2 linked regions of the Caenorhabditis elegans genome follow. The protein of the gene in region 2 interacts with the protein of the main gene of each other region in a pairwise test. Each region holds a gene or a part of one and is shown on either strand. Other genes may lie near its edges.

The links. The genes of interacting proteins can lie anywhere in the genome.
Region 1: the proteins of C49F5.6 (region 2) and tsp-12 interact in a two-hybrid assay, tested with the Caenorhabditis elegans proteins (2 studies listed by BioGRID).

Annotation. Positions count from the first base shown.
Region 1 is NC_003282.8:10,148,649-10,152,364, reverse strand, and holds tsp-12 (Tetraspanin-12), read left to right. Parts: upstream 1-1,762; 5' UTR 1,763-1,811; coding exon 1,812-1,871; intron 1,872-1,924; coding exon 1,925-2,021; intron 2,022-2,117; coding exon 2,118-2,809; intron 2,810-2,854; coding exon 2,855-2,932; 3' UTR 2,933-3,199; downstream 3,200-3,716. Other genes in the region: copg-1 (Coatomer subunit gamma), read right to left, coding at 1-27, 307-331; pigs-1 (GPI transamidase component PIG-S), read left to right, coding at 3,328-3,716. UniProt on the Caenorhabditis elegans protein: Functions redundantly with tsp-14 isoform a to regulate body size, embryonic and vulva development. Functions redundantly with tsp-14 (isoforms a and b) to regulate cell fate specification in the postembryonic mesodermal M lineage and male development.
Region 2 is NC_003284.9:11,986,429-11,991,800, reverse strand, and holds C49F5.6 (Dentin sialophosphoprotein-like), read right to left. Parts: upstream 3,488-5,372; 5' UTR 3,426-3,487; coding exon 3,162-3,425; intron 3,081-3,161; coding exon 2,859-3,080; intron 2,808-2,858; coding exon 2,712-2,807; intron 2,658-2,711; coding exon 1,281-2,657; intron 1,231-1,280; coding exon 880-1,230; intron 834-879; coding exon 789-833; 3' UTR 509-788; downstream 1-508. Other genes in the region: C49F5.5 (histone acetyltransferase), read right to left, coding at 4,572-4,684, 4,947-5,073.

The DNA.
Region 1 (3,716 bases), on a different chromosome or scaffold from region 2:
TGTTGGTCTTCATTCTTGAAGATTGACCTGGAAAATAAAACCATTACATTTTTTGTGGCGCGAAGAATGTATAACGGAGTAACTCAAAATCATTCGGCCGACTTCGAATTCTGATGGCAAAAATTAGGAACCCAACATTTATGATTTTTCGAGGATACACTGTTTTGCTACTGATTAATCGAATAATGAGAAAAACCAACGTGTTCTATTGAGAAGCGAGAGAAAAGTCATGCACAATCAAGGAGCGACTACAAGCACAAAGAAATTACAAAATAATAAATCACAATCACGACGTCTCAAAATTACCTCCTTTAGTTTTTGGGGCACTCATTTTTACGTGTTATTTTTCAAACTTTCAGCTTCTGAAAATTTTCAACTGTGCATAAATGATGGAGATTAGTTCAAAGTGAGTCAATCTGAATCGAATAACTGTTATTTGGAAGATTTAAAGTGATATTATATTGACGGACGAACAGTTGCGAAGTTATTTGGAAAGTCATACATACACAGTTGGTCGCGAGGTTTACAATGTAAATTTAACATTTGAAACATTTACTGCGTGATTAATCACCTCAAAAATTTGAACCCTTATTTATAAAACATTTTTCAGCTAATAATATAAATAAAATATTAGGGAAAATACGTAAAATTGAAAACCAGACTTTTCTTCTATCGCTGCAACGTGTCTGTCTGCAACTTGTCGTCAAATGTGTTGTTCAGTCCGTAAACACTCGTTGTCCACCGTATTTCTCATTGAATTTCCCTCCATTTATTAAATGAATGCGGCCACGGCCGGGCATGTGATTTCATAAGTTTAACTGTTTCTTTTGTGTACTTTATATTTATTAAGTATCCCCAAAACTTGGTATTTTCAAAATTATTCACTGCAAAGTGCAAATGTATTTCAAATTCACAGAACTTGTGAATAATTTAGAAGCTTTCTTGCATTCCCAATGACTGGGACCATGTTTCGAGCAGTTTTACGCCACCATTTATCAGAGTAGAATCAGGGCTCCCTGGAGACTTGATGTGAGAACAAAGAAGCTTTTTTATTTTTCTTGAAGTCTGCCCAGTTTTTTTCACAACAATTCAAATTCTGCAATTTGGTTGCATTTGCATGCATGCTTTCTAACAAATAATTGCAAATGCTTCATTTTACATTGTTTTGAATTTTGAAGTATTTCTGAAAAATTAATCCCATTACCGATCCGTTTCTCGCCAGTTCTCCAACTCAAGGACATATTTTTGCTTCCCTTTATATAATTACACCTTCATGTTACCTCCCGTCGCTTTGTTCAAAAATACCCACTGGTTGGCAAAAATATTTGAATTATTGATCGTTGTAAGATACTAGTCTGATACTTTTCGTTTTTCCGTTCTCTTTTAATATCTCCATCGAATTCAATGAACTAATGGATGAAGGCGGCAATTGAAATCATTCGTTGCAAGCCTGCCAGACCACACAGTGAAAAACGAAGAGAAGGAGGCTAGTAACAAGATAACGTATTACGTTTCCTCCGTCTCTTTGGTTTTCCAATCTTTCTCGTAGTATAGACTATTGAAAAGAAAAAGAGGAAGCTGAAGGGGAACATTTCTTTCCTGGAAAATTTGTTTGCACACTCTTCTTGTCTTTATTGACACTTTATGTGACTCACTGGTCACTTTTTCTCTACCTGTCCGGTTTCCAGAAAGGATTATATTATGTATCTTTTTAAACTCTGACCTCATGTATTTTATTTTAATTAAATTTAAATTTTCCCAGCAAGATTGCTCGTCGGCCAGAACATCATCGGCCACTTCTCACCCATCAGATGGCCAATCGACGACAGCCGGTGCAACACAGAGCACAGCAGAGGGTATATAGACAATCGGTTAGTTGAAAAAATTTAGAATTTTTTTTTCAAAAACAATTATCGAGTTTCAGCAAATTCGTTATGCCCCCGGCGCTGGTGGTGAATCGGAAATCAGTTGTTGTGTTAAATATTCGGTTTTCAGTTTCAATGTAATCTTCTTTTTGCTAGGTTTGTTTTTTCAAATATAATCTTAAAATGCTCAAAAATTTTCGAAACATTTATTTAAAAATTGATCTTCAGAAAAAAAATAATATGAAATTTCAGGATTTGGTCTGCTCTTGTTCGGAGTTTGGGCACAAATTGAGAAGAACACCTTTGTAAATATGCTGAGTAAAGCATCGAAACTGTATCTCGATCCGACGTGGCCACTTCTCATCGTTGGATTTCTCACATTTATCATTGGTTTCAGTGGATGTGTTGGATCACTACGAGAGAATACATCCTTCCTTACATTCTATTCAACACTTCTTGGCCTTTTGCTCATCGCCGAATTCTCAGCAGGAGTATTCGCATATGCTTGCAGAGATCAACTTGATAACTATATTAGAAATCTATTGAACGATGTGGTAGTTGGATATAGAGATGATCCGGATCTTCAGCTATTGATTGATTCTATGCAAGAGACGTGGATGTGTTGTGGAATCAACGGAGCCGACGATTGGGATAGAAACACCTATTTTTCAATAGAAGCCAGAGAAGTGGCCTCTCCAGAAGCTGGCGGAGTTCCATTTTCCTGTTGTATCAACAGTAGTAAACTGGAATTCAAGAACTACTTCTGCGGGCACGGTGTTCGTTTAAAACCAGAAAGCCACATGGCAGCACATCTTGCGGCTCAACGTGTGATGGCCCACACTGCATCGATTTATACGGAAGGATGTCTGCCGAAACTTCAACTTTGGCTTAATAATAACATGCTATTAGTAGCCGTTTCGATGGTTATTATTGCAATAATCCAGGTATTAAATTCGAATGAAAAATTGATTATTAGTATTTAATTTCAGGTTCTCGGTATCTGTTTCGCTCAAAATCTCAAATCGGACATACTCGCTCAACGGGCAAAATGGTATTATACCCATTAATCAATCAAATAATCAATTAATCAACGAAATATTCTCTACCTTCCAATGTATTCACTTCTACGCAGCTTTCTTTCGACTTACCACAGCCTATGCCGGTCACAAAAAATTCATCCACTTTGCAAAATATACGTTCGATTCTCTAAAAGAAACCATTTGGTTTGTCACAACTTCCTCAACTTTTGCCTTCTTTGTTTCTTTTTCCCAAAACCCCATGTTTTTACTGGTATTTTCAAACTTTGTGAGATTCCAATGAAATTTTCATATTTTATCCGTCCGGATCCGTTTCGAAGTTTTAAACATGTTTTCTGTTATTTGCAGTGGCTTTAAAAATATATATATACTCAAAAGTCCAAATGAAATCATAAATTTCAAATCTAAAACTAAAATTTCACAGAATGACGGAAGATGAAGAAATGCCACAGGAAAGTTCGAAGAGTTTCAAGCAAAAAGCTCTAGACTTTTTACTGGGAAGACAAACGGAAACGGAAGAATATGGAGAAATAACACAATCATTTATCAATTATGTACACTCGGAACGCCCGTATAAGTTAGCTGCATCATTATCTTTTGTTATTCTTGTATTTTTCATCGGTATGCCAATGTGGCATTTTACAACTTCAACATATCGTTCAAACTTTCCCACATTTCCATCAAATCAATCAATAACTGTACCAATTCGTGTTATTTTTGTGATAACATCGGAAGATCTGAGAAATGATGTTAAAACTCTAATGAATGAGTTGGAAGTAAATATGACGAAGAAAGAAGTGGTGGCTCCATTGGA
Region 2 (5,372 bases):
GTAGACGAAATCAAACTTGATAGATTAACAAACTTTATTATGTCTGATAATTGAATTAACAACATGCCAATATGTCAATATACCAATATATACATTTTCAGGATCTAAACCGTTTATAATATGGAATGACGGAATTTGTAAAGAAATACGAACACTCACAAGTAAGATTGAAAGATTGACAATCGGAAACTGCGTACATTACTTCATGTCATAGTAATGTCGGACTAAATTTTTTTTATTAATAAAATTGTTTTTAAATAGGTTTTAACTTGTTGACGGAACTATTGTATTGACTAAATCAGTAAATAATTATTTGGATGGTTGAATTTGTTTTTAAAATATGTATTAAATTTCCTCGATTATGCGTTTCGACTATGGCATCAAAATTGGGTTCCTTTCGGCAAGATCATGCCTGTTACTTGCCGATGGTATTGAACGGCCTGTTACAAGGATTTCGGCAGCTCCATATAGATCACCAACCATGGGATACGTCTAGAGAACTTTTAATCGAAACCTGCACTCAATTTATTCTTCGCATAGAATTCAAATTATACAAAACGGATATGATAAAACAATCTTATAACCAATTAGAATTAAAAGTAATTACGATAATACTTATTGGGAATATTAGGAGACAATAAACAAAAACTTTGACTAATGCCAAAGCAAATGTATTTGATTACAACTATGGAAAAAAACTTTAATAGAAAGGGAATATGGGTCAAAAAGCGAAATAAATAGTCAGATTCAAAACATTTTCAAACTGTATCGATTCTTGTTTGTTTGTTCTAGATGTTTTGGGCAGTGGTAGATGTAGATGGTTGAGCAGAAATCTGAAATGATTTGTTGTAAATTGAAATGTGTTCAGTGTACATTAACCTCCATCAAATTGGCTCCGTGCTTGTCGTTTGCAGACTGAGCAATCATGGAATGATGACCCGAGAACTGAACAATATTCTGTCCCAACCATTTCCCGCGAATTTGCTGCGAATTTTTAGAGCGGCTTGATGGATAGAAGTTGGACAGTTTGGTGCGTACACGCATTTTTGCAATCTTCCATGAACCACGTGGAGCACCAGCACAATGTTCTTCTTTTCGTGGCGAGAATAATGCAGTCTTTGAAGACGATCCAAACTCTGGCAACACCTTCTTTGGAGTTCCAGTACCCATCATTTGAATCAGTTTGCCCATTGATGGTCCGTATTGATACTCGCTCTTCCCAAACACCTTCTGAAAAAATCACAATTGTCAATTAAACAACATATCAAAATACTACTCACCTTTGGAGTGAAAAAGCTGATGTCCGAGTTGATCTTTCCAATTGGAGCATTGAAATTTGCTTTGAGAACGGTTTTTGTCGGCTTGTTAGTGACAGCTGTCTTTGATGGAGACTTTGAATACTGCAACACATTCTCAACTGGCAACAGTGGCTTGCCCAGTTTTGGTTCAGCAAGTGCAGCTTCTGGCCCAACTTCTGTCAACAAAGCACGATTGTCATTCATTGGAGTAGTTGCAGCTTCCTTATTCAAACATTCCATTGTGGCAGGAAGGTTTTCCGGAGCTTGCTCATTTGATTGGAAACCACTAGTAACAGCAGTAGTTTGAACATTTTTGTTCGAAGTTGGAGATTTATTCTCCATCCACGATTCACGAAGTCTTTGTCGCTTAGCTCTGAACTCATCGAACTTCCGTCCAGTTTCGGCAGTTACAAGAAACTTGTATCCACCTCCATCCGAGACCGGGTCATTTCCAGTAGCTTTCAACTCCATTGGTGCAGTGTTCTCACTGCTGATTCCCATCGCAGAACTGTTATTGAGCTGGTCAATTGGTAAGATGTGTTCTTTGTTGGGAGAAGAGGCTTTGTTATCCACCATGTTTTTACCGAGAACGCGCTTCTTTTTGTTGGTCGCATCTTCATCAGTGATGAGTTTTGCAGGAGTAGACGGTCCTCGAGATGAAGGAGTAGAACTATCTTCCAAATGACGCTTTCGCAAACCACGAGATACTTCTGCTTTTTCTCCAATATCAGAAATATTCAATTCCTTTGGCATAATGATATTTTCAGTCGATGTTGGAATAATGGCTTTAGCCGGGCCAGAATCAATTCTCCCATCGTCAGTAATCTCACCATCCAACACACCAACTTGTTTGCTTGGCGAACCATCATAACTGATCTTACTTATTGGGGAACTCTTCAAATGTGCGACAAGTCCTCGTTTCTTTGATCTGAACGAAGGGACAATCAGATCAATTTTCTTCAGAGTACTCCACTTCAGATCCTCTTTGGCTGGGCTGGCAGAAACATCATATTGGTACACCTCTTGGCTCTTGGCTGGCAGTTCCACTGGCTCAGTCAACTTCTTCTGGAGTCCATCTGCATCCTCAAATTGTGAAAGAGATGGCACATCGCCCATCTTATTGACAGCCAAGTTTGTAGAGCAGTTGATACTGTTTTCAGAGATTTCTGAATCCTTTCCTTCTTTATCCATCAACATGTCTGACATGACCTTTGTAGTAGAAGAAATTATTTTCGATCTTTGAATAGTTGACGTAGTTTCACGAGATCTCATTATTGGTGAACTAGAAGTGACAGTTGACTGAAACTCGATTGTAGATGTAGATGTGAGCTTGAGTGGGCTAGAGGGAAGAGGAGCAATCTGAAAATATGTATTTTATATACCAAAGTAAAACGTTATAGCTGTGGAACCAACCTCCTTCTTCAACCTTTCAACACCATCAATCGATGTGACACCAGAGTTCGGATTCTTGAATTTCTTCAATTCAGAAACGCAGATGTTGACAAATTTCTGCAAAAAGTACAGTATAAATGCTATAAATAGTTAAAGTTAAATGCGAACCGAAATTTTTCCAACTTTTTTCTTTGGAGTCTTCATATCGGCATTACGATGATTCGTCTCTTGAGAATCCCAGTAGTTGTCTTGATAATTGTCTTTTCCAAGAACCAGTGGCTTTGTAGAAGCACAATCCGTAACGTCTACACCTGCATCTCCGTTTTCATCGATTGAATTGGCAACGACACAAACGGAATTCGGATATTCACCAGAAAGAATATTCGGTACCTGAAAAACGAATTAAAAATAACACTAGACTAAAAACAGACTGCAAGAGTCGTGCACTACAAATATTGTGCTTGAACTTACCGATTTTGAACGCTTCATTGGCGATGTGGGAGCCAAAGCCATTCTTGAAGAAAAGTTCATGTTTGGGGACATTGACAAAGTTAAAGATGGACAAGCTCCAAGACTTGGGAAAGGAATGTCCACAGTTCCCACCGACTCTGACTTGCGGAACTTCACCACTCCCGAGCAATAGCAAAATCCCACACAAAGACGGGAGCCGCAGGTTTTCATCGACAAGGTTCGAACATCAAAAGACGACTCATCAGGCTTAGAAACAGTAGTCATCACAGCATAGATATTGATACAAATCTTGTGATCCGATAAAGACGTGGTTGCAATAATTTACCCTTCAAAAATAGTTAATTTTGAAACGTTTCATATACATAAAATTCACAAGAAATCGTAGGGTTAATCAAGGTTAAATAAATCAAAGTATTGAAATTGAATTGGAAAGCGAAACTAAAATGCCAACTCAAACACAAGAAAACAAAATGTCTATGCTAATGTAGTGTTTAGCAAAAAGACCGCGCCTTTTTCTTCCCGCCATGCAATACAGTGCAACACAATTGACGTAAACATGCGGACCTTGTTATTCCTCCCCGCTTTCTTTTCCGCCCTCCCAAATTCACATGCTCTCTCGGCGGATGGTGTAAAGATGGAGGGAGAAAAGGAGGGAGGTCCCGTTGGTGAGTTTGTTTGTTTGTTTGCCATCAGGGATGTACGGCTGTCGGCTGGCGCAGCCAGCCGACAGCCGAAAAATTGGATTTTTCGGCTGGTAGCGCCAGCCGACAGCCGACTGATAATCTAATGTTGGCTGGCGCAGCCAGCCGACCTTTGAGTTAGAGTTTTCGGCTGGCGGTTTAAAAAAAAATTAACTGATTTTTGATATATTTGAACACTAGTTGCAAGTTTTATATATGAAAAAAGTAAGCCGATGTGGTTATTTTTGTTGGATAAAGTGATTAAAAAGTTTGCTATACCTTGTTTTTGTACTAAAAGTATGCTTAATTGCTCCGAAACACTTCAAGAAAGCAACGTGCAAAAATACAGTTTAGCGACAAAACTTAACCATAAAGCTCAGTCGGCTGGCAGCGCCAGTCGACAGCCGAAACATTGCTAGGTGTCGGCTGTTGGCGACAGCCGACAGCCGACAAAATCAGCCAGTCGCACATCTCTGTTTGCCATGTTGTTTACAAACTCCTGTACGCTTGAAAAGGAAACTATTAGAGTTGACCGTCTGGTTTTCTGAATCTGAAAATAATAAACAAGAAATCCATCAAAATCGACCGGTAAACGAAACAGCAGTATCTGTGAACATTTTATCAATCGCTAAATGCATAAAAAACAAAACAGAACAATAAGTAACAATTAGAAGATCATGGTGGGAGACAAATCAAAATTGAAGTTTGGCATATGTCATTACTTTTACCTTTAGCTACCACCAAATGTTTGAAGTCTTCTTAGTGGAGCACAAATTGCACAAGCACGATTTTGGCACTCACGCCAGTGTTTGATGAGTTGCTTCGAGGTGTTACAGTAATCAACTGAAATTTAAGTAAGGTTAAAAGGGTAGGGTATATTATTGAAATCTTATAAAAATAGGTAATAGAATCTTAATAGCTTTTGTGGTTTTTTTGTCATTCACGACGTGTCGTATGTGGGAAACAATGTATGTTTTTACATTTTGTTGGAGTTTTTTAATCGAACTGGAAACTGAACCTCCTCTGTTTTGGGGTCGCTTTAGTGTCTAATGATGCTTCATTGAAAAAAAGTTGTCCCTTTTGAAAATTAAATAAATGAACATACTGAGACAATGCGATCCGTTCGTGCACATGTTCAAATGAGAAAGCGTGTATTTGAAGAGTCCGCAACTGGGAAGATCGCAGCGTGGATGACGAGCAGGTTGACCATTGATCGCGGCTTGGTAATTCTCCTGAAAATCTTATTAGTCAGTCGACGCAAAATATTAACCATTGTTGATGAAAATTCACCACAAAAATTGACTACTCTTAAAACATAACCTTACAGTTTTTATATTTTTTTCACTTCACGTGTGAGCCAAGATTAATTTCCAGACCTTCCGTTGCTACGGTCACTCAATGAAATATCTGACTGGGTATGAACATTGCTTTCCGAAGTTATGAAATGTTATTAGAAAACGAAAAACGTTCAGATGGAGATGGAGCCTATACTTGATTTTTTTGTGAACCGTCACTAATAGTATGCATAGAA